Rattus norvegicus: one gene and its partner. The protein of the gene in region 1 interacts with the protein of each later gene in a biochemical or structural test. Links are inferred from orthologs where the notes say so. Each region holds a gene or a part of one and is shown in the gene's direction. Other genes may lie near its edges. The genes, in order: Akap1 and Mycbp.

Evidence for each region.
Region 2: the proteins of Akap1 (region 1) and Mycbp form a complex in vitro, tested with the Homo sapiens proteins (2 studies listed by BioGRID). The link is inferred for Rattus norvegicus from reciprocal best matches to the Homo sapiens genes AKAP1 and MYCBP.

The regions. Positions count from the first base shown.
Region 1 is NC_086028.1:74,115,679-74,127,938, reverse strand, and holds the end of Akap1 (A-kinase anchor protein 1, mitochondrial), read left to right. Parts: intron 1-243; coding exon 244-370; intron 371-865; coding exon of another isoform or gene 866-891; coding exon 892-1,019; intron 1,020-3,127; coding exon 3,128-3,305; intron 3,306-5,266; coding exon 5,267-5,417; intron 5,418-5,779; coding exon 5,780-5,847; intron 5,848-7,697; coding exon 7,698-7,771; intron 7,772-8,388; coding exon 8,389-8,451; intron 8,452-8,684; coding exon 8,685-8,759; 3' UTR 8,760-9,707; downstream 9,708-12,260.
Region 2 is NC_086023.1:141,416,542-141,428,847, forward strand, and holds Mycbp (C-Myc-binding protein), read left to right. Parts: upstream 1-4,185; 5' UTR 4,186-4,256; coding exon 4,257-4,271; intron 4,272-4,417; coding exon 4,418-4,490; intron 4,491-8,727; coding exon 8,728-8,776; intron 8,777-8,971; coding exon 8,972-9,101; intron 9,102-10,195; coding exon 10,196-10,240; 3' UTR 10,241-11,397; downstream 11,398-12,306. UniProt on the Homo sapiens protein: May control the transcriptional activity of MYC. Stimulates the activation of E box-dependent transcription by MYC.

The DNA.
Region 1 (12,260 bases):
CCTTCAGCTGCTTAGCAGCTGTGTGGGCTTGTGTGGGTTCCAGAGCATGTCCCAGCTTGTTTCTCTTCATGTGGAAGATGATAAAGTTGTCTATCCGTAGGTACATAGTGAGCATAAGTGCTTAGAACAGTTCTGAAAAATACATGCTGACAGAAACGAATGGTGTGAGCTTGACTAAGCCTGGGTCCTTGGGCAGCGAGGAGTTGGTTTCCTGTCATCCTTACCTCTCTCTTTCCCTGGAAGCATTTAGTTGGTCGACTGATTGGCAAGCAGGGACGGTACGTGAGTTTTCTGAAGCAGACGTCTGGTGCCAAGATCTACATCTCCACCCTGCCTTACACACAGAACATCCAGATCTGCCACATAGAAGGTCAGTGGCGGTGGTGCCCTGTGCTTGGCTCCCTCGCCTGAATTCAACACAAGGCAGTAGCTTCCTGGTTGCAGCTGTCCATTTGGAAGTTTAGCTTTTAAATAGAAACTGTGGGTTTCTAGGTAGAGGGCATGCTGGGTGTCTTCCTACAGACTCCTCCGGTTCGGGTGCTTGTGGGAGACTGCCCCTCTGCACCATGTCTCTGTCTAGCCAGGGTGGGTGCTCAGTGACAGGGCCAGGGTCCTGGGTCACAGTGCCTGTCATCCACATTTCCCTCACAGTCACAGGTACCTTCTGGCTGAGGCCACTTGTGCCTTTCCCATCTGCCAGCTTCTTGGTGTGTTCAAAGCATGGGGACCAAAGGGGAGTGGATTTAAGTGACTTCATTCCTAACGCAAAGCCAGTGTTTGGCACCTTAGAAACCCTTGCACGCGAGAATCCCAAAGAGGCCTGAGGGTGGGTTTGTGTTTGCTGTCACTCTTCTTTTACCCACAGAGGCTGTGTCCTGTCCTTACCTGTAGGCTCTCAGCATCATGTGGACAAAGCTCTGAACTTGATTGGGAAGAAGTTTAAGGAGCTGAACCTCACCAATATCTATGCACCACCGCTGCCTTCTCTGGCACTGCCTTCCCTGCCGATGACATCGTGGGTGAGCATGCTCTACAGGATCTCAGTTCTTGACTCTTACCCAGTGGAGGCTCCTGGCGTGGGCTAAGCAGGCCAGTGGGTGTGTGTGCTCTTTGCTCTGGCCTCCACTCAGTTCTGCCGGTGTCTTCTCTGACGGCAGGAGAGAGTGCTGGTGAGAAGCCAGGGCCTCTTGAACCCATACTAGGAGGATTATACTTCCTTTCCTGCCCTGGGCATGCTTTCTTTTTTCTGGGCTTTTGACTATGGAAGACTGAGCTAGGTGACTGGGTGTGGGACTTCTGAGGAGGCCTGGGTAGGGTCTGCCAATAAGGATTTGTATGAGCTTAGATGGACTGCTACATTCTTTGTAGTCAGCTGGGCTGAATAGTGGCCCTGGCAAAGGACTCCCTCCTCTTGCCTCTCCTCAGAAACTGCCTGGATTTTAGTTGGTAAATGCAGAGTCCCTAGCCTGGAAGCCCAAGAAGTTGGCAGAAGAGAAGGTACTGTCTCCAGAGCGATGAGCAGGCCTGCCCCTGGCCCTTGCTGGGCCCCTTGTTGCTGAGAGTAGATGGCTCAGTTCTGTGGGCCACACACTGTTCACTGCATTTCAGAGGCTGAGCAAGCCGCTTCAGGAAGATTGCCCCTTCGGGTTTTGTTTAGGATGGTAGGTGTTTCACCTCTGTCTTTCCCAACCAGAGACCCTTGTGCTGTAGGGGGTGGAGGTAGGGTTCTTCCACTGTGGGCATTAGGGAATGGGGTAGGCTCCACTCCATGCTTTACTTCTGAATTAGAGGCTTTCTCAGAAGGCTTGGCTGTGGCCTCTCTTCCTTAATAATGGAATGGCTAGTGTGGGTGGTTTCCTTCCCTTGTGTTCTGCTTGCTCAGTGGGACTGGGGAGGAGACTCCAGGTGTTTTGAAGTCAGCAGGGCTACAGGGACCCATAGAAGTAAAGGATGTTCTTGGGGCCACTAGGTTTGAAGGCACAGTCCAAACCTTCCTGTGTTCAGAGCCCTGCTTTGTTGCCATAGCTTAGCGTCAGGGAAAAGGGTGCCAAGCATGGGGCTCTTAGAAGCCTCTGCTAGGACCTGTTGCACTGCCCCTTAGCAGATGAGCACACATTCAGACCCCACCCCAAAGTGAATCGAGGTGGAGGTGGATAGGATGCGATTGATCTAGGAGCCAATTAGAAGGCACAGAGGACTGAATAGGACACCAGGGGACCTGCCTTGAGGCTGCTGCTTGCTTTTCTGAGACAGGGAAATTCTTCCAAGCTCTAGAGTCAACTGTAGGTCCAAAGAGGCCTGAAGCAGCTCACCCAGGATTCTCCGGCATGTTGTTCTGAGCAAACTGCTCACTCCCACTTGCTTTCTTTGACTTAGACTCAACAAAAGAAGTGGGAAGGGCGGGTTGGGATTTAGCTCAGTGGTAGAGCGCTTAAGGCCCTGGGTTCGGTCCCCAACTCCGAAAAAAAGAAAAAAAAAAAGAAGAAGTGGGAAGGGGGCTGGAGAAATGGTTCAGCAGTTAGGAGCACTGCCTGTTCCTCTAGAGGACCTGGGTTCAATTCCCAGTACCCACACAGCAGCTCACAACTGTCTAATAACTACAGTTTCAGGGAATCCATGGCGGTGGCATGTGCATGGTCTGTGCATGCACACTCATATGTGTGTATATGTATGCGTGTGCATGCGTGTAGGCAAAAGATCCATACAAATAAAATAAATCTTTTAAAAAGAAAGGAAAAAGTCAAGGGAACTCAGTGAGCATGAACTAAAAATTCCAGAAGGAGTGGAAGGGAGGGGGAGGAGGGAGGGAGGGAGGGAGTGAGTGATGGGTTGATTGCTTGCATGCTCCAGGAGATAGACCCTTGCCCAGCCTGTGCAAGGAGTCGTCAGCACTGCATATATAGTTGGCCTCTGGCTGCCTAGTTTGGGTTAGGGGTCTCCCTTATCTTATCCCGAGGTGATGCTGCCTCTAATGGCAGGTTTCGGTATTACAATGCAACAGCCCACAGACCTCTGTTATCTGGGTGCCATGTTACTGTGCCAGCTCCTGGACTTGCCCTGGGGCTTCGGGACGTACCCCATACATGAGAATAACTGATATAGTGTTGGCTGCCTCTTCCTTCTCCAGCTCATGCTGCCTGATGGTATCACTGTGGAAGTCATCGTGGTCAACCAGGTCAATGCTGGGCACCTATTTGTACAGCAACACACACACCCCACCTTCCACGCACTGCGCAGCCTGGACCAGCAGATGTACCTCTGTTACTCTCAGCCTGGAATCCCCACCTTGCCCACCCCAGTGGAAAGTAAGTGCTGCCTGGAGAGTCAGGGACAGTCCTGGCTCCTGGTCAGGCCAAGACGTGTAGGCAAGGAGGGTTGCCCGTGTCAGCCTTGGTCTGGATCAGGAAAAGACTGTTCAGGCTCCCTTGTGTGACAGCATCCTTAAATTCTTGTGTCGTTATGGAATTATACTGGAGTGAGTTTTCTGGCTAGCCCAGTGCTAGCTCGTACTTTCACTGACCGGCCAAAGCAGTAGGATTGGAGTGGCGATTTGATGGGTGGACTCATCATAGCCCTGACACTTTACGTCTTCTTTTAAACATTTTTTTTTCTTTTCTTTTTTTCGGAGCTGGGGACCGAACCCAGGGCCTTGCGCTTGCTAGGCAAGTGCTCTACCCCTGAGCTAAATCCCCAACCCTAAACATTTTTTTTTTTTTTTGGTTCTTTTTTTTTTGGAGCTGGGGACCGAACCCAGGGCCTTGCACTTCCTAGGCAAGCGCTCTACCACTGAGCTAAATCCCCAACCCCACCTAAACATTTTTTTAAGATTAGATTCATTCATTTTATGTTATTCGTGAGTATTTTTGCCTGCATGTATGTATGTGCACCACATGTGTGCCTGGTGCCCATGGAGGTCAGAAAGGCTTTGGGTCCCCTGGAACTGTAGTTATGGAGGGTTGTGAACCACCATGTCGGTCGAGGAATCAAACCTAGGTCTTCAAGAACAACACATGCTCCTAACCACAGAACCACCTCTCCAGACTGGGTGTTGCGTCTTCTAAGTGGGGCGATACCGAGTGGTACCCAGGCTTGCCCACCAGGGAGTAGAGTGGAGATGCTGAGTGTCATGTGGGGCATTCGGGTGTAGCTTGTCACCTGTGCAGTGGTCTGGGTGAGTCGCTATCTCTCAAACAAGGGACTTGTTGAGGCAGCTTGAACAGGGCTGGGGTGTCCTGGTGCCTTTGTTGTTATATCAGTGGGTAGGGGACTAAATGCAAAACATGCCTCCTGTCTCCTCGTGGGCTTTGAAGTTATCTGTAGCCCCCTCCCCCCTTTGGGAGAATGGGGTTTTAATTTTCATCAGATTCTCCAGTAATCTAGCCCGAGATCAAGCTCAAACTGGAGTGGAAGCTTAGCTAGCTGCACTGGGGCTTTGCCGCCTGCATCAGGACCAGGTGTAGTTAGCTGCAGCAGATGCTAGAGGTGCTGCCGTGATCGGTACCTGACCCTGCCCAGCTCGGCTGCCTGGGGCACTCTGTACTTGTGAGGCAGAGGCTCAATGGTGTGAGCTATAGACCTAGGATGTCCTTCTGCCAGGCTCTCTGTTGGGGTTGTTGTGGAGTCAGGTAGACCAGGTCCTAGGTGCTGGGCCACTAAGCTTAGCAGTGCTTGATTCTCTCCGGGGACTTCCTTAGGCCCAGGGCTGGGAGGTAATTTAGTGAATGTTCGTCACAGGATGTGAGTTTGATTTTCTCACAGGAAGAAAGGAAGGAAAGCTGTGTATAGTATGCTTGTGCGCCAGCCCTGAGGAGGCAGAGATAGTCAGACTCCTGGAGTTCACTGACCAGCCAGCATTTTTTTTTAAAAGGCCCAATATCTGAGGAATGACACAACATCTGAGGAAGGTCATATCCGGCCTCCGCGTCCATGCATACACACATAGGGCAGGCCCTCACTCCTGCTCAGTGAGTTTTGTATTGTACTAGGTTTAGGCTACATCTCAGAGTCATGGACCCAGACTGAAGGTCCTTCAGGATTGGGTAGCTTTGGGGATGTGCTGAGCTGGATTTCCCATGTCCTGGGTTTTCCCTTGCTTGTCTTGGGCTCCGGGAGAGAGTTTGTGGAGGATTCGTGTTGTCCCTGTCCCCTCCCTGTGGAAATGCATGCCTCTGACAATGTGGGAAGGTGGGGAGCAATGACCAGGGTAGCCCTCACAGCCCTGCCCTAGGCCAGACGTGTCCCACACACTTGTCCTCCCACCCTGCAGTAACGGTTATCTGCGCTGCCCCTGGTGCGGACGGGGCCTGGTGGCGAGCCCAAGTAGTGGCCTCCTATGAGGAGACCAATGAGGTGGAGATTCGCTACGTGGACTATGGTGGATATAAGAGGGTGAAAGTCGACGTGCTCCGGCAAATTAGGTGAGTGGGACTCCTTGGCCAATCACAAGTCACCCCTGCATGGCATGGGTGCATGGCTCAGTTCTGCCCAGCTTCAGATGGGGCTGGAGTCTTCCCCTCCTGCTGCCAACTTTGTGTTCACATCAGATGTAGACAAAGGTGCTGACCTGCCTCAGCCTCACAGAACCAGGAAGCCGCTCAGTGGGAGGAGCCCCAGTGCCAGGCATGTGGAGTGAGAGACACCCGAGTTTACCCTCTGAGCCAGGCTGTAGCAGTTGTCCATCTGCAGTCAGGTGTGCTCGTCACCCTGGATTGTAGGTGTCGCTGTGCTGAGGTCAGATGCTGTTGGCCATGTTAAACCCATCCCTTCCTTGCCTTTCCAGGTCTGACTTTGTGACCCTGCCATTCCAAGGAGCAGAAGTCCTTCTGGACAGTGTGGTTCCGCTGTCAGGTAACAGGCGAGCCCCCAGCTGCTGGGGGAGGGGGTGAGGAACACTGGGGCCTGGGGCCCTCGCCTATCGCCTGTGTAGACAGTTGCTGTCACTGTTAGCTTCTGGTTGAATAGTCTAGACTGAGGCCCAGTGTCGGATGATGTCATTATGCAGCAAGGCGGGTCCAGGATAAGGTGAAGCCTATCATTGGATGAGAAGGAAGGGTGGGCGGGGAAAAGTCTAGGAAGAAGGGAGGAGGAGGAATGAGGGGAATCAAGATAGAGACAGTGGAGGAAGATGATTCCGATCCAGGTGGTCTAGGTCAATTTTATCCTGTCTAGGTGGGCAATTTCTATCTTTATTAATTGGCAGTGAATTTATTCTGTGGATGTATCTTAGATTGACTATTGAACACATAAATCTGATTGTTGGGTTACAGTTTGTTGAGTCTTGATGTTACCGGGTAGCTGGGACCAGAGTTCCTGGCTGGCCAGGGCTGACCGGGGCAACTAGCAATGGGACTGGAGGGACCCCTGGGGCTAGAAGGTAGCTAGGCTAACATGGTGTGGTGCACACTGGAACCAGCCACCGCTGAGATAAATTAGTGTTAGTTCTATATGGCCCTACAGTGCCAGAAGTAACGCCAGGGAGCAGCCGCCGGGTCTGAGAATACCAGGGGCCAGTGCGGAGCAGTGACACAGTAGCCTAAGATCTCAGATTTCTAGCAAGTCCCCAGGCGAAGCCAGAGCTGCTGTGGCCTCATTCAGGGTCTGCTGCTTTGCACTTTACCCAGCTGCCAGCCTGCGGTTCCACGAGGTTTTTTAGGATGTGGCCAGAGGGGACAGGCTCGGGGCCAGCACACTGCTTGGCACAATCTCCACTCCTTGGGTGGGGTGGGGACTGTGCTGACCTGCGTGTCTAAGACCGAGAGCATTGCTAGAGAACGGGTGCTGGGCTCATGTCCTCTGGCACGATAGGGTGGCGCTCACACGTCAGGGTGGCTGTGGGAGTCACATGTGTACTGATGTAGAAAGTGGTCAGATCGCAGCTTCTCACGCTGTAGGTAAGTCTGTCTGACCCGTTGCCCTCTCCCCTTCAGATCCTGTTGTGTCAGAGCCGTTTAAGTGCTCAAGACTTACCTCAGTGTAACCAGGCGTGATGCTGCACACTTGAAATCTCAGTATTCAGGAGGCCAAAGCAGGGGCATTGCCATGAGTTTGCTGTCTTTCTTTAAAAAAGGGGGGTGTGGTGCAGCGGCTGAAGTCCTGCCAGAGCACCGGCAGGCTCCCTCCCTCCCCCTCTTCCCCACCCGTCTCTGTGCTGTCCACCTAACAGTCTGGCCAGCCCACGGAAATAGCCCTGCTTCATCACAAGACTTGCCCACCACAGCTTAAAGCTCTCCTCCCACCCTCCTGCTCCCTGCCTTGGCCTGTTCTCTTATCTGTCACTTTATACTCGAGCCACCTGAGTCCTGCCCACTAGAGGACGTCCACCCACACTGGGCCCTGCTGGGACTAGAATGCTGCCTAATTGTAATCCAGCATGTGGGAGCCCGTTGCCCTTTGGGGATCAGCCTTTGCCCATAAAGTAGACATGCCCGCCCTTCTGTCTTCTGGGCGTTGCGGGTTTGGTTGGAAGTACACAAATGTGTTCACCCCCCCATCCTGTGTGCCCTATGCCTTGGGGGGCACATGCAGCTGGGGCTCCCCTGTGTTTACCCACGTGAGTCACAGAGGCATAGACTCAGCTGGTAAGGTGGTTGTCCTAGACACAGTCCTGCAGTCTGCAGTGTCTGGAGCAGCCTATAAGTGACGAGACTGTTTTGCCCCAGAGGGCGTCTGAACTGTTTTGTCTTTTTCTTCTTTTCTAGATGATGATCACTTTTCACCCGAGGCAGACGCAGCCATGAGTGAGATGACAGGCAATACAGCACTGCTGGCCCAGGTGTGTGTGGGGGAGTAGGAGGCTGGCCCAGGCGTGGGGGGGAGGGGGGAGGCTGACCCAGGGGTGTGTATGTGTGTGTGTGTGTGTTTGGGGGGTGTGCAGAAACCTGGCCCAGATGTGTGGTGGGAGTAGGGAGCTGACCCAGGTGGGGGGTGGGGGTGGGGCAGGAGACTGGCCCAGGTGTGTGTGTATGTGGGGGAGTAGGAGGCTGACCCAGGTGTGTCTGGGGGTGGGGGGGTGGGGGTGGGGTGGGGGACAGGAGGCTGACCCAGGTGCATGGCAGAGAGCAGGAGACTGGCCCAGGTGTGGGAGGGGGGCAGGAGGCTGGAGACCAGCCAGGGGCTGTCAGGGGAGTCTCCTGCCTAGTGCAGCTAAGTGTCCCGACTTCTTGAGATCGGACACTTAAATTCCTTCAGACCCCTATGGTCATGGGGCTGGAGTGACCAGCAAGCTTGAAGTGCATAAGCCAGGCCTGGCACACTCCTTTAATTGGAGCACTCTGAAGGCTAAGGCAGGAAAATTTTGAGTTTGAGACCTGTCTAGGTTACTTGGTAAAACTCGTCTCAAGTTTTAAGTGTGTACAGCCTAAGATGTTTTTATGCCCCATGTCCCTCCAGGTGACAAGCTACAGTGCAACTGGCCTTCCTCTGATTCAGCTATGGAGTGTGGTTGGAGATGAAGTGAGTCTGCCCCTTTCTACCCAAGCTGCTGTCAGCAGCACAGGCTGACTGGGAACTAGTTTTGGCCACTCTTAGACAACATGATCGTGGGCCAGTGCCACTCAGGGGACACTGGGCATCAGGGTTGGGAGTGATGGTATTAGTGTCATGTAGTGCCATGAAGCTAGATGTGCTTGCTTGAGACCTAGCCCCTAGGTACCAGGCAGAATTCTCAAGAAAACTCTCTTTTCCAGGTGGTGTTGATAAACCGGTCGCTGGTGGAGCGGGGCCTGGCACAGTGGGTAGACAGCTGCTATGCCAGCCTTTGACCGTGGCTCCTGGGCTGCTTCGGTCTTCTTTGCACTGTTGAGATTGGGTTTGGCACCCAGGACAGAGATTTAACAGCAGAGTAACGAACACTGTTCTCACTGAGTCTTCTTTCCCCATTCTGTAGTCCTGTGGAGAAGGAGACTCCTCCCAGGAGGAGCTGGGTATCCTTTCAAAGCCTTAGAGTGGCGGGCGCTTCACCAGCCAGCTGGCTTAGCCTGGCTGGAGGCTGTCTGGCGGGAGGTCTCTCAGCCAGGCTGTCCCATTCCCATCCCATCCGTTCCCCTCTCCCCACCCAAACCCCACACACTGCAGCAGGCAGGCCAGGGCGGGTGTGGGGCTGGCTGAGAGGGTCAATTTCAGAGTCTTTATTCAGGGAGTGAGACACGGACTAATCGGTATGGATTCCCTGTGTGGCTCACTTGGATGAGTTGACGGTGTTTAGCAGTTTTTATATACTTCCTCCGGGTCTCTGGGAACTCAAGACTTTTTTAAACATAGGTGTAAATAAGGAGCGATTGTCACACCTGACCCCAGTGAGTGGGGAGAGGGGAAGCTATTATCTTGCCAAGCCTGGTTGTAATTTGTAACCATTTTCTATTTGTGCAAACTCTGTAAATATGTTTAAAAATGTAATATTTTGTACAAGACACACTGGAGAACAAAGGGAACTTAAAACTCTTCCACAAGTCCACCCATCCCATGGAGTGGGACTAACTCCCCTGCTGCTCCAGCCAGGGGCCCTGAGCTTCTGTGCAGACAGGAAGCTGTATGGGAGACTGTCATTGGGGATTTGATTTTTTTTTCCTGTACGCATTTAAAAAAAACCTTCATTGGATTACCTTGCAGTGGTGTGTTTGACTTTTATAGGCTGTCTTTAGCATTGTGCAATTTAAGAATAACTTAAGTATCATGGACTTTACATAAATTTTGAATTGTATAAACTATAACCTTGAGTCCATTTTTTTTTTCTTCAGTGGTGGCAGAAATTTGGGGCTGGGACTAAGGAGTAGTGGCGAGTGGTGTGGTAGAGGGTCCAGCTGTGGCTCTCAAGGGCCACGGTGAAAGAAAGGGAGGACCCAAAACCTTAGAAGACATTCTGGCCTGCTCTTCCCCCTGCTCCCACCAGGTGGCAGCCCAGCTTCCTCTGGCCTCTGCATTGAGAGAACACAGGGTGTGGTGTAGAGAAAGGCTGTGGAAGGTAGAGGATAGAGACACAGGCTCCTCTGGCCAACGCCATAGGGTCTGGGGAGGATGTAGGTTCTCGGTCTCTCAGATCTTAAGGTCTCAGTCATCCTTGGAGGGTGGTTCTACGGGGCGTGGTTGGGAGTTCGGGAGAAAAGGAGGTTGGAGGGCCAATCATGAAGGTATGAACCCTACAAAAGACAGACACTTTTCAGAGGAGCAGGCGTTTGGGGTTTTCCAAGTTAGTTTATCTGAGACTCCTGTTACTAGGGGTCATCAAAGGCATCTTAGCCTGATCCAGCCAACTGCTGGGGGTGAGGGTGGAATCTCGGGGACTGAATCTTGGGGACTGCCCTTCGATGGTACTGTTTCTTCCAGCTCACTGCTGGCGTTAGTATCCTCTGAGCCCTGAGAGACACAGGAGTAGCTGGTCACTGCAGAGCCTAGGTTCTAGGTTACCTGCTACTGCAAGTATAGCTTTGCTTATGCCAAGACCAGCATCCAGCTCCTGAGAACTGAAGTCACTTACAGCCGTCACACTAGAGGACTCCCACAGTGATCTGTGCCGTGCTGTGGTGATACGGAATCCACAAGCCTGTGAGGCAGGAACCCTTCCTGGCTGAGCTACTTAAAGCAGAACAGAGCAGAGCCAAGTCTCAAGGCCAGCCACTCCCCAGTCGAAGTGCTGTTAACCACTTATCTAAGTAGCAAGGAACCCCATGCTCACCTAGGTTTATGTCCCCTGACAAATGCCAGTACTTAAATGGTCGGCCAGAGGGATAGTTTTAGATCATAGGGGAACAGGGGAATACAGGGCCATTGATGGTTTTGCTTCTGTGAAAGGCTTAAAAGTCAAGTATGAATCAAGCCAGGAAAAGTTTGTAACATCTGAGCCAAAGGGTGAGTGCTCTTTATGTAAGATGACCTAGAAGGAAAAATCAACTCTGCTGATAATGTCTAGGGCAGTCTGGTAAAACACAGTAGAAAGACAACCTGATGGGGTTCAATTTCCTGAACCCACATGGCAGCTCACAACTGTAACTCCTGTTCCAGGGGACCCGACACCCTCACACGGACTGGTGGGTGGTCAGAACACTAATGTGCATAAAACAATAAATTATTTAAAAACAGAACCTGACTCCTCACTGTGACAGTTTCCCAAAAACTGCAATTAAAAAGAAGGAAATTTTGATATTTTTTCGCTTAAATCGTGTAAGAAAAACATTAACAAGAAAGTCCGGGTTGGGGATTTGGCTCAGTGGTAGAGCACTTACCTAGGAAGCGCAAGGTCCTGGGTTCGGTCCCCAGCCCCCCCGGAAAAAAAAAAAAAAGTTGTAACATTAAGGGGTGGAGAGATGGCTCAGCGGTTAACAGCACCAGCTGTTCTTCCAGAGGACCTGGGTTCATTTCCCAGTGCCCACATTTCCACGTGGAATAAAAATAAATACATTAAAAAAAAAGGGGGGGGGCTGGAGAGATGGCTCAGCGGTTAAGAGCACTGTACTGCTCTTCCAGAGGTCCTGAGTTCAATTCCCAGCAACCACATGGTGGCTCACAGCCATCTATTCTGGTGTGTTTGGAGACAGCTACAGTGTGCTCGTATCAGAAAATAAAGATATAATTTAAAAAAAAAAAAAAAAAAGAAAGTCCACGGTTTGATAACTGGTGTGGACGTTCTGTGGCAGTCTCTATTTCTGTGTCTCCAGTCCATACCAGTAACTGGCTTGTGGCTTCTCTCTCAGACAGCAATACTAGACCGTCCGCCAGTCCCAGCACCCTTACACAGATCGTTACTGTAAACGCTATAGATTGGCCAGGTCTTGCTATACAAGCAGGAGAACTGAAGCACCCTGGGCTATATGGTGGGTAATGTGTCAAAAACATGATTATGGGCTGGGAGATGGCTCCTTAGACCTGAGTTCAATGCCCAGTTGAAAATCCAGGGTGGACGTAGAAAAACCACTTCCCAAAGTTGTCCTCTGACCTCCACATGTCCACATCGCACACACACGCAGTAGTTTTAAAGGCATGTTTCGGGAAGTGTTTTTAAGATTGCGTGAAGTTTTGCTATGTAGGCCAAGCTGGCATCAAACTTCAATCCTGTCTCTGCTTCCTGGGTGCTAGAATTACATGTGTGTGTGCCCCTAGATTGCCTTCAGACTTCTGAATTGTGACATTAAGCCAGTCATTTTAAAACACATTTTGATCCAACTGTCCGCCATCTTCACTGCACACCTGTATCTTCCACAGCACCCCTGAGCCTTTGGTTTTGACTCACCTTCCCTTTGGACTATGTCTGATTTGTTATGATCAGGACA
Region 2 (12,306 bases), on another chromosome or scaffold:
AAGCTATGCGTATGTTATTATAGAAAACAACCCTAATATCTTGCAAGACCAAATCTTGTCCCTGCGGACACGCTTTCCCCCTCAGCTACCTTCAAGAGAGAACCAGAGCTCCGGAGCTGGCCTCTGGCAGTTGGGAAGATGACTAAGTGGGTAAAAGTACTTGCTTCACAAGCCTACTGCCCTGCAGAGTTTGATCTCTGCAACTCACTGAAACAGTCAGGTGTGGTAGCAAGCATGCATGGTCCCAGAACCCCTACAGCGAGATGGGAGGCACAGACAGGTGGGTTGGCAGCTAACTTGGTCGTGCCATCTTGTCTATGAGTCCAGCTGTCAGGCTATGCTTTGATGTGGTATTCTGTTATCCATGTATGCTCCTGTGTGCCACTTTTAGGTGTGATATGTTAGAGTTTAAAAAGCAGCCTATAAGTAAACAAATATAAATTCAGGTCAAATTCCTTCCAATTCCTAAGACCTAAGCAAATCTAAGTTTTTTTTTTTTTTTTTAAGTTTATAAGTTAAAAAGAAAAACAAGTTGGATAGTGGTGGCACACACCTGTAATCTCAGCACTTTGGAGGCAGAGGTTGGCAGATCTCTGGGAGTTCGAGGCCAGCTTAGTCTACAGAGCACGTTCTAGGACAACCAGTGATATAAACCTGGGCTGTCTCAACCTCCCCTCCCACTCAAAAAAAAATATCCAGGACTGATAATACATTATCTTGTGCTACTATTAGATACTTAAATGTCAATGCCTTAATTTCAAAACTGCGTTTTGGGTTTTCATTACAATAATCTATGCAAAAGTCGGTAAGTGTAATAAAAGGCTGATAGAACTGGACAGACAGGGTTTTGGGTTGTCCTTGGTATGATGTCCAGATTATATCCCAGAGAGTTAAGCAAGAGATATTACTGGGTATCAGGATTCCCATTTGCAGGTTCTTTTTTTTTTTTTTTTTTTGGTTCTTTTTTTCGGAGCTGGGGACCGAACCCAGGGCCTTGCACTTCCTAGGCAAGCGCTCTACCACTGAGCTAAATCCCCAACCCCCCATTTGCAGGTTCTTAGTCTTGTTGATAAAAGAATTTAAGATTTATAAGGAAGCTTGACCATTAGATTTTGAAAGAAAACCCATACGGCAGGCAAGCTACAATCTGTCAGCAAATGGGGGAGAAGAAAAAAGGGAGAGCAAAGGAGATTTCCTCATCTCATGCGGGCTCAACTCAGGAACCAGAGGCTCACAGTCCCAGGAAGCACCCAGTGAGTCAATGGCTCTGAGTCCTTGTCTGCAAACTTGGCATTCATGGCTGATAAAGGGCGAAGGGTTTGTTCTGTTTGAGACAGAATCTCAGCATGTGACTCAGGCTGGCCTTTCACTCGCAGAGATCTGCCTGCCTCTGACTCCTGAATGCTAGATGCTAGGATTAAAGGCGCATGTTGCCATTCTTAGTAGTGAAGGTTTTCTAATCACTTTTATTTTAAAATATTTCTGTTACATTTATTGTGCACGTGTGTGTGTGTGTGTGTGTGTGTGTGTGTGTGCGAGAGAGAGAGAGAGAGAGAGAGAGAGAGAGAGAGAGTGCTGGGAGAACATGTGGAGGTCAGATGGTACTTTGCAGTACTTTGATCTCCTCTCTATGACAGTTCCAGGGATCAGGCTTTCAAGTCAAGTGCCCTTATCCACTGAGTCAGCTCATTGGTCTACCTAAGATGAGTTTTGTTTTTTTTTTAAGAGCTTATTAAAGAGTAAAAGTTTAAAAAAAGAAGGATTTTAGTTTACTAAAGAAAGCAGAGGTTGGGACAAGAGCCAGATCTCCAGAGAGGGCCCAAGAGAGGACTATGGAAAAGGTTAGATTGGCTCCACGATAGGAGGTCCTAAGAAAGGAGAAAAAAATCCAGGGCTACACTGTAGGGGCTTTTTCCAGGATGTAAGGCAGAATCTGGACAAACACCAAGGGAATTTTATTGAGAGTTAATTCTCTGAGCATCACCTTCAGTCAGGGGAGAGCTTACCTGCTCTATACATGTTTCTCTGTTCCCAACCAAGGAGGTGACCGACCATTCACATTCACTGACTCTTCATTTGTTGCTCACTCAGAGGGGATGGGGGAGGGTGAAGCTCTGTCTTCCCTTGTCAGCTGTTGACCTGGCTTGTCTACTGGCCAGGTCACTAGTTGTTGATTTTAAAGATGGCGGTGGTCTCAGGCTATGGTAGGGTCCGCTAGTCATTAATTCAACTCTATTTTTGTCCTCACCTTTATGTAGTAAGCATGAGGTTCTATCAAAGAATCACCACGTACTTAGAGGGAGCTAACTCTTGCTGCAGTTAATACGATGCGGTTGCAGCTTTTGTTGGTTACCTCATATCCAGCTCCTTATGTACAGGAGTGTGGAGTAGCCTCTCTCCAGGTCAAGGGGAGCCATGCTTTGCCATAATTAAGCCGGTTACAACTGGCAGTATTAGGAGGTAGCACTATGAAAAGGTAACAATGCCTTACTTAGTTTCCTGGGATTGAGTTAGGAGGTCACACATGGTGAGACCCTGCCTCAAAACAACCCCTCCCCCCCAGACAAACAAATGTAAAAATCCCAAAAAGCCCAACTAAGAAAACTGGATGAGTCTGCAATGCCTGAGACCAGCGACTGGACCAGGGAGGAAGGGCATTACTGACAAGATCAAAGGGAGGCAGGCAGCACCCATCGAGAGGAACTGTGCTTTGTACTTTCTCTTCAGTTGGTGGTTGAAGCTGGGTTCATGACTGGACAGTTTTTTTCCACATGAGTTTAAGTTCTGTGGCTTCTCATGACCGAATATGATTTTTTTCTTAAGACCAAGAGAAAAGACAGTATTTTCGTTATTTGTGCAATATAGAGCCATCGTTTCGCTTTTCTTAAACAGTCTAAAAACTATGCAGCTAGGGGCCAGTAAGATGGTAGGTAAAGGCACTTGTCGCCAAGCCTGACAATCGTAATTCAATTACTGAGTCAGAAGGAGAGCAAGTCCTGTGAGTCTTGGATCTCCAACCGCACCGAGGCATGAATACCCTGCCCCAAAAAGGTGAGGATAGGGCCTTACATTGAAACAAGAACACAATGAATTCTTTGTTTTGTTTTGGAGACAGGGTCTCTCTGTGTAGCCTTGGTCATCTTGGACCAGGCTGGCTTCGAACTCAAGAGATTCAGCCGCCTCTCCTTTCCTCGCACTGAGACTAAATTCGTAAGCCACCAGCGCTCGGTGAATAGAATGACTTCTATTCAAAGACATCAAAACAATATCTAGCCAAGTAGCAGGCACAACAACAAATTCACCAAAGGGCCCTCTTCTGCACCCAGAAATGTTCTCAGTAAACAAAACAAAACAAACAAACCCAGCAGCATAGCCACATTTTAAATTCATCTTCTGCATGTAGGGTGGCTTCTGGATGGGTAAAGTGGGATAAGCATTTTTGAACGAAGGAGGAACTAGAGAGACATACATACTTAGTACTACCTATAATTATTTTCAACATAAATACATGCATAATATATGGAAAAGAACTTAATGTTAACTACCAACGGGGTAAAAAAAAAAAAAAAAAACAAAAAGAAAACTAATGACACAAAGGCAGGGAAAAGAATCACGACTTCAGAGGTCTTTCACCTAATCCAACATTACTGTAGAGATAAATTTTCTCCCAGCCAGCTGCTATCTGCAAACCGTACTGGGCTTACATGAGCACCCTGAACATGGAGTCCAAGAGAGATTCAAACTCTTTATATAGCTCAGGGTGACCTTGAACTTTTTCCTGTTTTGCTTTCACCTCTCCTGTGCTGGGTATTTTTCTGAGAGCCAAGAAACACTGAAACACCGGTTCCCCACCAAAGACCTAAAAGACAAGGAGTGCGCGACTACTACCACGTGGAGAGATGCTACGCTTAAAGCATCTAACTCCCGGACACACCCATACTGGGCCTCACAGGACGTTCGTTCGGCTTTACCGAAACCTCGCCTCTTGCTAGGCAACCGAATCTCCGCGGCGACCGGAACAGGAAGATGCGAGACTGCCCGGAACCGCGTAGGGCAGGCGCACGCAGTCTCTCTGGGCTCCGAGGAGACAAGGATACACAGCGTCCCGGTCGCCATGAAAACAGGCCACACCCCGGCGGTCCCGGCCCGTGCCTGCCCAGTGCGCAGACGCGCGCGCCGTTCCGCGCAGGAGCAGTGAGGCTTGGAGCCCGCCAGCCAGTGTCTCCGGCGCCAGCTACGCCGCTGTGGCTGTCACTATGGCCCATTACAAAGTGAGGGGGGCGCGGCGTGGCTCGGGGCGTGCGGGCGGCGCCGGGTGGGAGTTGGGGCGCGTGCAGGGCTTGGGGCCGGCGGCGGGGCGCGCCGTCTTCCTGCTCCGGCCCCGGGCTCCGGTCCCTGACCCGCCGTGTCTCCTCAGGCCGCCGACTCGAAGCGCGAGCAGTTCCGGAGGTACTTGGAGAAGTCGGGGGTGCTGGACACGCTGACGAAAGGTGAGCGGAGGCGGGCGGCTGCAGCCAAGGTCCGCGCGCTCTTGACCAGGTGGGGCCCGCCCGGGGACTAGCGAGGCCTTGGGGTCCCATGGGTTGAGCGCACACCGGCCGCGGGACTTTGCCTCACCCCCGTGGTCGCTCTCTGCCCGGGACTGAAACTCTTGCAGCTGTTGCAAAGTCTCTCCAACTTCCGTTGCTTTCCCTCGAGCAGTCGCAGTGGACACGTTAGCAAGAGACCTTGAGGTCCCAATTGCTCCCGCCGTATAGTGTGCGGGATTTTACAAATTTTTCCTTTGGACAAAGGCAACTAAGAAAATTACTGGATTTGAAAGTGGGTTATTAAGTGGCTCTAGTCCCCGAAGCTGGAGAGTATCACAGACAGTTTGGGCTGTGGCTTTTCAACTCTTTCAGCCTGTAGTAATTCCTACTTTGTGTAGATATCATAATTAAAGTGGAATTACAATTTGAAAAGTGCTTCAGAGCACATAAAAATGGCTATACTCTTTACTTTAAAACAATGGAAGATTACTTTTAAAGTGCATCCCTTCCTTTCTGGGAGTAAGGTTAGAGGGTATGGTGATTGAACCCAAGGATTCCCGGAAAGAGAATACAGCTAAACTGTCCTTAACAGTATATTGAATACCTGCTACATGTTGAGTAAGAACTCAACATTGCTTGGTGTTTCCAAGGGAATAGAATGGAATGGCTGGCAGGGATTGAACCCTTGGTCCTTTTGAGAATAGGAGGTGTCTGGGAAATAATTTTGTATCTGCTTTTTAGTGAAACAAAAGCTAGGGGAAAATTTGGAAGGACTTAGAAGAAAGCAGGGCTTTTAATTCTTTTACATGGATGAACTGACAAGTTAGAATTACTACTAATTTCCTTATGTAGTTTTGCAAGTCGATGTGAGCAACATATAAGGAACTGCTCTGTGAGACCACTGTACTTTGTGGCATCGGAAGTGTCACAGATGGCTTGGAATTCTGGTAAAAACCCCTCATGTTTCTTTGATGTGATGATTTTATTCCAGCCTGTGTTCTGGGTACCAAGGGCACAGCCACAGACATGTCCCTGCTTTTGGGAGCTTGTTAGGGACACACACTGTAACACAGTGCCAGCTAGTGGTTGACATATAATTTAAACCATAGCCAGGATAAAGGTGTGACATTTTACATGGAGTAGCAGAGGGCAGACCGTGAACAGAATTTAAAGTATAGATAAGTATAAAATTTGAAATCTGGATTGCTCCCAAATCTGTAACTTACTGAGCATTGATGTGGAAAATCCCATACTTGACTACATAAATTATGTCAGTCATAATTCAGGAGCCTAGGAGTATGTACTTGTTCAAGACCATGTTCATCTTATGTGGATGAGGTCCGAATGGAATGTAAGTGAAGTTCAAGTTTCCGCTTGGATCTCATCCCCAAAATGTCTCATTATTCATGAGTAGACATTTCAACCTCTGGAGATAAAGACTGATACACTTTTGATCCCAAATAATCTGTGTGGGGAGGGCAGGGGGAAAGAAATGGATGCGGTGAGTGGACAGGCGAGAGCAGTACAAGGCAGATGGACAGCAACTGGAGATAACTGAATGCAGGCTGTTTAAGAGAATGGAAACCAATTTTAAAGGGTCAAACATAGATGCTTTATACACGTTTACATCTTCCTATCAGCAACATTTCAGAGAGGATTTAAAGTTGTTTTTAACATCAAAACAATGTAAGAAGCCAGGCATGGTGACATGTTTTTAGTGCTCTAGTGAGGGAAGGCCGATCGGCATTCACTGCTTGCCTGGAGCGCATATCAAGACCTGTCTCTCTCTAAAACAGTAAACGAGAGCTAGGCTAGAGAGATGGCTTAGAGGTTAAGACTACCTGATATACAACTACAGGGACTAAAGTCGAGATACCGGCACTCATGTACTAAACCAGGCGGTCTGTGTGTGTGTGTGTTCCCAGCCTAGCCAAAAGGATGGAAGCTCCAGGCTGGGAGACCTTGTCTCAAAGGTTTGAGGCATATGCAGAAGACTGTCGACATCTTGTTTCATTTCTAATTGCACTTGACCAGTTGAAATAGGAGGACTGCTTGAGTCTGTGACCAGCCTTGGATAAAGAGTAAAACTACATCTTAAAAACAAAAAACCAAACTTAACCAACCAGCCAAAAAACAAACAAACAAGCAAAAACAACAACAACAAAAAACAAACAAACCCAAAACCAAAACCCAAATTGTATAACCTTCTAGACAAAAGCATCCAGGAAGAAGGTGAATGGATGGAATAGCATTTTAGTTATTCTGAGCAGGGTAGCAAACTTTAAAAGGCTCTAAGTACCTAGGCTGCTAAGGGCTAGCCAGAAGGCTCAGCAGGTGAAGGTGCTTGCTGCCAAGCCAAGTGGACCTGAGTTTGATTCGCAGAGGGTATAGGTCTCTGAACTGTGTCCTCTGATTTCTACCTCCTCCCCAATATTGTAATAACAGTAAATTTAGCTTCTAAAGCAAAAGCGAATATGATTTGGTTGAATTCTCTTCAGATAAAAAGCACAATTATTCCACAGAAAAGAACACAAAACTTAACACTTTGTGGCTCCAGCCATGCAGACACCAAGGCAGGAATTTGGGAGCTGGAGGGAAGTGAGGATGCAGTGACGGAAGGAAAAGGCAAGAGCACTAATAGTCACACCCTGTAGATCCTTGCCGGCCTAGTGGTGCAAGTGTTTAATCTCAGCACCTGGGAGGCAGCACTCAGAGAGGCAGGCAGTTTCTGTGAGCTCAAGGCCACCCTAGTTTACATAGTTTCAGGACAGCAAGGGCTGCACAGAGAGATGCCATCTTTAAAAGTAAGTAAATAATGACTAAGACTCCGTACAGATCAGTGGAAGTAAATGAAGAAACACTTTTAAATGTATTTTTTAAAGCAAAAAAGTAGTAGTAGGGATTTGAGATAATGTAACATACTAAGAGATGGTCAGATAGTTGCGATATAAATGTGGATTTCTCAAAAAACTGTGTATTTTGGTGTAAAAGTGCTTGCTCACTTGACATTTTTCATATTGTCTGTACTTTGTCATTAAAACTCGAAAACCCAGCACATGTACATTGGTTTACAACAGGATTTCTTAATTTGGACTCTCAAGTTATGCACATTGAAGTTGCATATTTTACTTTTGTCAGATTTTTATAACACTTGTACGGGGGGGGGGGGGTGCTGAGGCAGGAGGATTGCCATGAGTTTGAGGCTAGCTGGTAGTACAATAGTGAATTGTAGGTCAGCTTGGGTTACCTGTCTCAGCAACACACTGACTCAAGCATACACAGCCTTAGGAGAGTTTTTCAAATTGTCCTCAGCACAAGTGTGGAGACCTTGCCCCCTGCATACTGAATCCTTGTTCAGTAGGTGAGAGACAGTGTTGACAGGAAGTGCTAGCACATTGTTAATGCCAGTCTGAGCATGTTGACTGTGGTAACGTTTTTTTGGTTGGTGCCTAGCTTGTCATACATGAAACTTAATTCTTGAACGTTTCAAATGGAATGCTGTTAATTACCTAAAATGTCTTCAAGTACATTACATTAGATTTTTTGTTTTTGAGACAGGGCTCCTTGTAGTTCAGGTCTCCAGCTCATTGCTTTTCCAGGAATGATCTTGAACTCCTTAGTCCCCTGCTTCACCTCCTTAGTACTGAGAGTACAGGTATGGGTACCCGGCTTTCTTCTGGGCCATTTTCCATGTCCCACTTAAGTCAGGCTTGTATACAGCATTCAGGAGTGACCCTGCTACCTCCTTGCTTTCAAACTGTTGAAATAATGTTTGTAGTCCTTAGGATCAAAATTCAACTAAGCTTTTCTCAGTTGTCTCAGTCTGGCCCCAGACTATCTTTCCTTTTATTACCCACAACCCCACAACATACTTGACCTGTTGGTTCCCTTGTATATGCTTTGAGCTTTTCCATTTAATCTGAAATGCAGCTAGGTCTCAGATCTGCCTCTGATGCTGAGTATTCTAAAACTCACTAACCACTATTACAGCTGAGTATTCTCTTAGTTCCTTATCTTTTACGACAGATTGATGAGTTTGTTGCTAGCAAGGGTACTGTCTGACTTGTTCACCACTGTATGGACAGGACAGTCTTAGCAATCTGCTCACCGTACAGCAGGCAGACAGTGTTTACTGAGTTTCAGAATATTTCAGCCGTCTACACTGGAGACTTAATTGTTCTTTCTCTTTGATTTGCAGTGTTGGTAGCCTTATATGAAGAACCAGAGAAGCCCACCAGTGCTCTGGAGTATCCTTTTCATCTCTGAAGGGAAAAAGCCATATTTCTGACATTTTTATTTATTCACATATATAATGCGCTTTCAATACTTTGTTTGTTGAAAAGTTCTTTTGACTCTTCACCTGACCCTGGACAACCGCTGTGGTGTGGTGGTGACTGTCCTGGCCCACCCTGCTCTGAGTATGTTCTTAACACTGATGTCAGCTTTTTAAAGCATCACTTAGGAGCTGCCACCCCGGAGAACCCAGAAATAGAGCTGCTTCGCCTAGAATTGGCAGAAATGAAAGAGAAATATGAAGCTACTGTAGAAGAAAATAAAAAACTGAAAGCAAAGGTAAATTTAAAAACCAAATTCAAATTAAAAAGTAATCTTGCCTCTAATGATTATCTGACCAATCCTTACTGCAGGCCAGGGATATAGCTCAGTGGTCGAGCGTCTTTCTGGCATGAGTAGAAGGTCCTGGGTTCCATCTGTAGCATGATAAAACCACAGTAAACAACTAAACCCAAAACTCCACTAATGGGTAGCAGGGAGGGACAGTATCAGTTTCAGTCAGATCCATGGCAAACTTAAGCCTCATCTAGAAAAGTCCCAAGACCGATAAAAAGTTGGATAGGCAAGTATAGTCACGAAAAGGGAGTGAGAACCTACATCAATGAAAAGGTGGGGACATTGGCTGATACTGCTTAAAGTAAGTTCTTAAGCTGTTTAGGTCAGTCTAGGCCACTGCGTTGTTAAGACACAGTCTGCATTGTCTGAAGCATGCTAGCTCCAGGTTCTCAAAAGGACGGAAGAAAGCTGTACTCGACTTTATCTAGAGCTGAAATTTGCCTTTGCTCAAATTCCCATAAACATGAGCATCAATCAGAGTCTGAGGTTTATCACATTCCGAACCACACGATGTAATTCCCAGTCTGAACCTAATTGAAAGAGGTCAAGTCTTCTGAAGTCTAGTGTTCTTGTAAGCAGTCACAAATTTCTATAAAAGAAAAGGCAAGGTTTTAAATCACTAAGGATGCTGAGATCTGTAGTTGGTAGTTGCTCTGTAGACCAGGATAGCTTGAAACTCAGGGCAGACCTGCCTCTGCCTCCCTGTTGCTGATGTAAAACTTCCTGGCACTTTTAAAGTCAGACATCGGCTTCCCATCGGCTGACCATACTAACAGAACCATGCAGTGACTGAACAGTTCAGTCGTGAACTGAGGCGTGAGTTTAGTTCCCCAGCAATGCTAAAGATTTATACAAAAAAGGCTTTTGTTAGGTTTAATTGTACTCAACCTTAAGTAAGTGAATGGTTTAAGAAGGATAATACAGAAATTGATTACTGACTCAACTAAGTTGAATATATTATCTAATTTCATTGTATTACTAAGTTTTTTACCCAACTTAAATAAAATTCATCTAAATCCTCTGTCTTTGCCCCATAGCTTGTTCAGTATGAACCACCTCAGGAGGAGAAGCGTGCTGAATAGGATTCTTCTCAGTTGAAAAGACACTGAAAACTGGTTTTGTATCACTTGAATAGCTTGTATAGTATATGATCTTTCCTGAAAAGATGCTATAAACTTTTAATATGTTAAATTCACTCATCACACTTTAATGTTATAAACACATATACATAGAATCACCAATAAAAACTCAATATAACTTTCTTTGGGTCTTAAAGCAGGAGAATCCAAAGTAGATCGTGAAGAAAAGCTAAAGAGCCACCTAACTTTTCACCCTGACAGCATTTTATTTATTACTCAGTTAGGAATAATGGTACTGGTTGTATTTTAGCTAGAAGATTTAGCAGGGAGCTATTCCTTGGTCCAGGACTTGAGCATAGTAGGCACACTCATTCTTGACAGCGTATATTTCCTGGAGACAGCTGGACATATCTGTGATGTACAATGCTTTTGCATGGGTTCCCATGCACTTCTGCTCTTTTATAGAAATCGAGAACAAACAGCTCTTCTTTGCCACCACTTTGCCTTAGACAACTGTGCGTGCCAGTGTGAACGCTGACACCACGTTTTCCTTCTATGCAATCATGCCTATCTGATAATGCTGCCTTGCTGTGTGTGCTTTAGTGTGTTCTGGTTGCACATTAGTCTGGGTCATTTTCAGTTTGTGTAATGCTGCAGCTACCTTTGATTGTAATTTACATGCTTCCCACAGGACTACACTCTTACCCTGCCTTCCTTCCTTCCTTCCTTCCTTCCTTCCTTCCTTCCTTCCTTCCTTAGTTGAGCACAGAAGAGAGATAAAAGTCTGGGTTCATACACAAACTGGGATGGGAAAGGAGATGAACTGTCTATGTCACAGATAATTATAATAAGTAATTATATAGTGATTTCTTTCCCTTCAAACATTTTTTTGAGCCTTGAATTCACTTTATCTTTATTATCCCTGTGAAGTAGGTAGGGCAGGTAAAGGGAAGGTTGGGTGTTGAATTTTTAGGCCAAAGACTGACACACAGATTTGTTGCTAACTGTAGAAACCTGAGTAGGTCAGTTAATGGTTTGGAGACCCCCATCCTCATCTGTACCATGAAAACATTTGCTGCCTACCTCACAGGGTTGTTGTGAGGTCAAATGAGAGAATGTATATGAAAGATTTGTAAATGGTAAAGTACTTGTTTTGTTAATCCTTTTCTTTCTTTTTTGGTAGGGGACAGTCTCATGTACCAAGGGCTGGCCTTTAATTCCTGCCTCCAACTCACGAATGCTGGGGTTATAGGCACTCCCACTCCATCCGGCCCTTTCCCTTTTTCCTGGCAAGAATCACAGTCAGAGGTGTTGTCGATTACTTGCCTTCTTCCCTGACAGGCACATAAGCCCTTCTATACCACATCTTCTAGCCTTGTCTTTAAACTTTGATCATAGCACACATCCAGTCAAAGCTGGTTTAACCAGTCAAGGTACTGGCACCTGCTGGAAACTCTGACCAAGCCATTTACCAAGGCATTGCAATCAGTCACATTGGCAGGACTGTGGCAATGGCCTGCATTGTTTCTGGAAGGTGGCCAGATACTGAAAGAACATGTAGCTGGGCAGATTCTCTTTGTTTACCAATTTAGGTGCCTTCTGGAATGGATATCACTGGGCTAAGTGCTGGTGAGACACATGCAAACATCGACAAGGTGGTTAGGATGTGCAAAGAATTGTAGGCATAATGAAACAGGGCCTCATGAGAATTTGGTAGAGAGGGGACTTAGCTTCTTAGTGGTTTGTATGGCCATTATTTTGTTGATACTGATAACTACATTTTGTTTTCCGGCTACTAGTCTTCCCCACTCCTCTTGTAGTACTATTCACTCATTCATTCATTCATCTCACTGTAAATATTATGTAGCTGTGATTGGCCTGGAACTATGTAGCTGATGGTAGCCTCAAACTCAAGAGTCTCATTCCTCTGCTTCCCAAGTGCTGGGATTAAAGCTGTGTACTTCCCTGCCGGTTTAATGATATGTTTATGTCAGTAGGTCTGTGACTGTCTTGAACCATTCTGTTGCACATTAGTTGCAGTGTGTGGGCTAGATTACCACCTGTAGGTG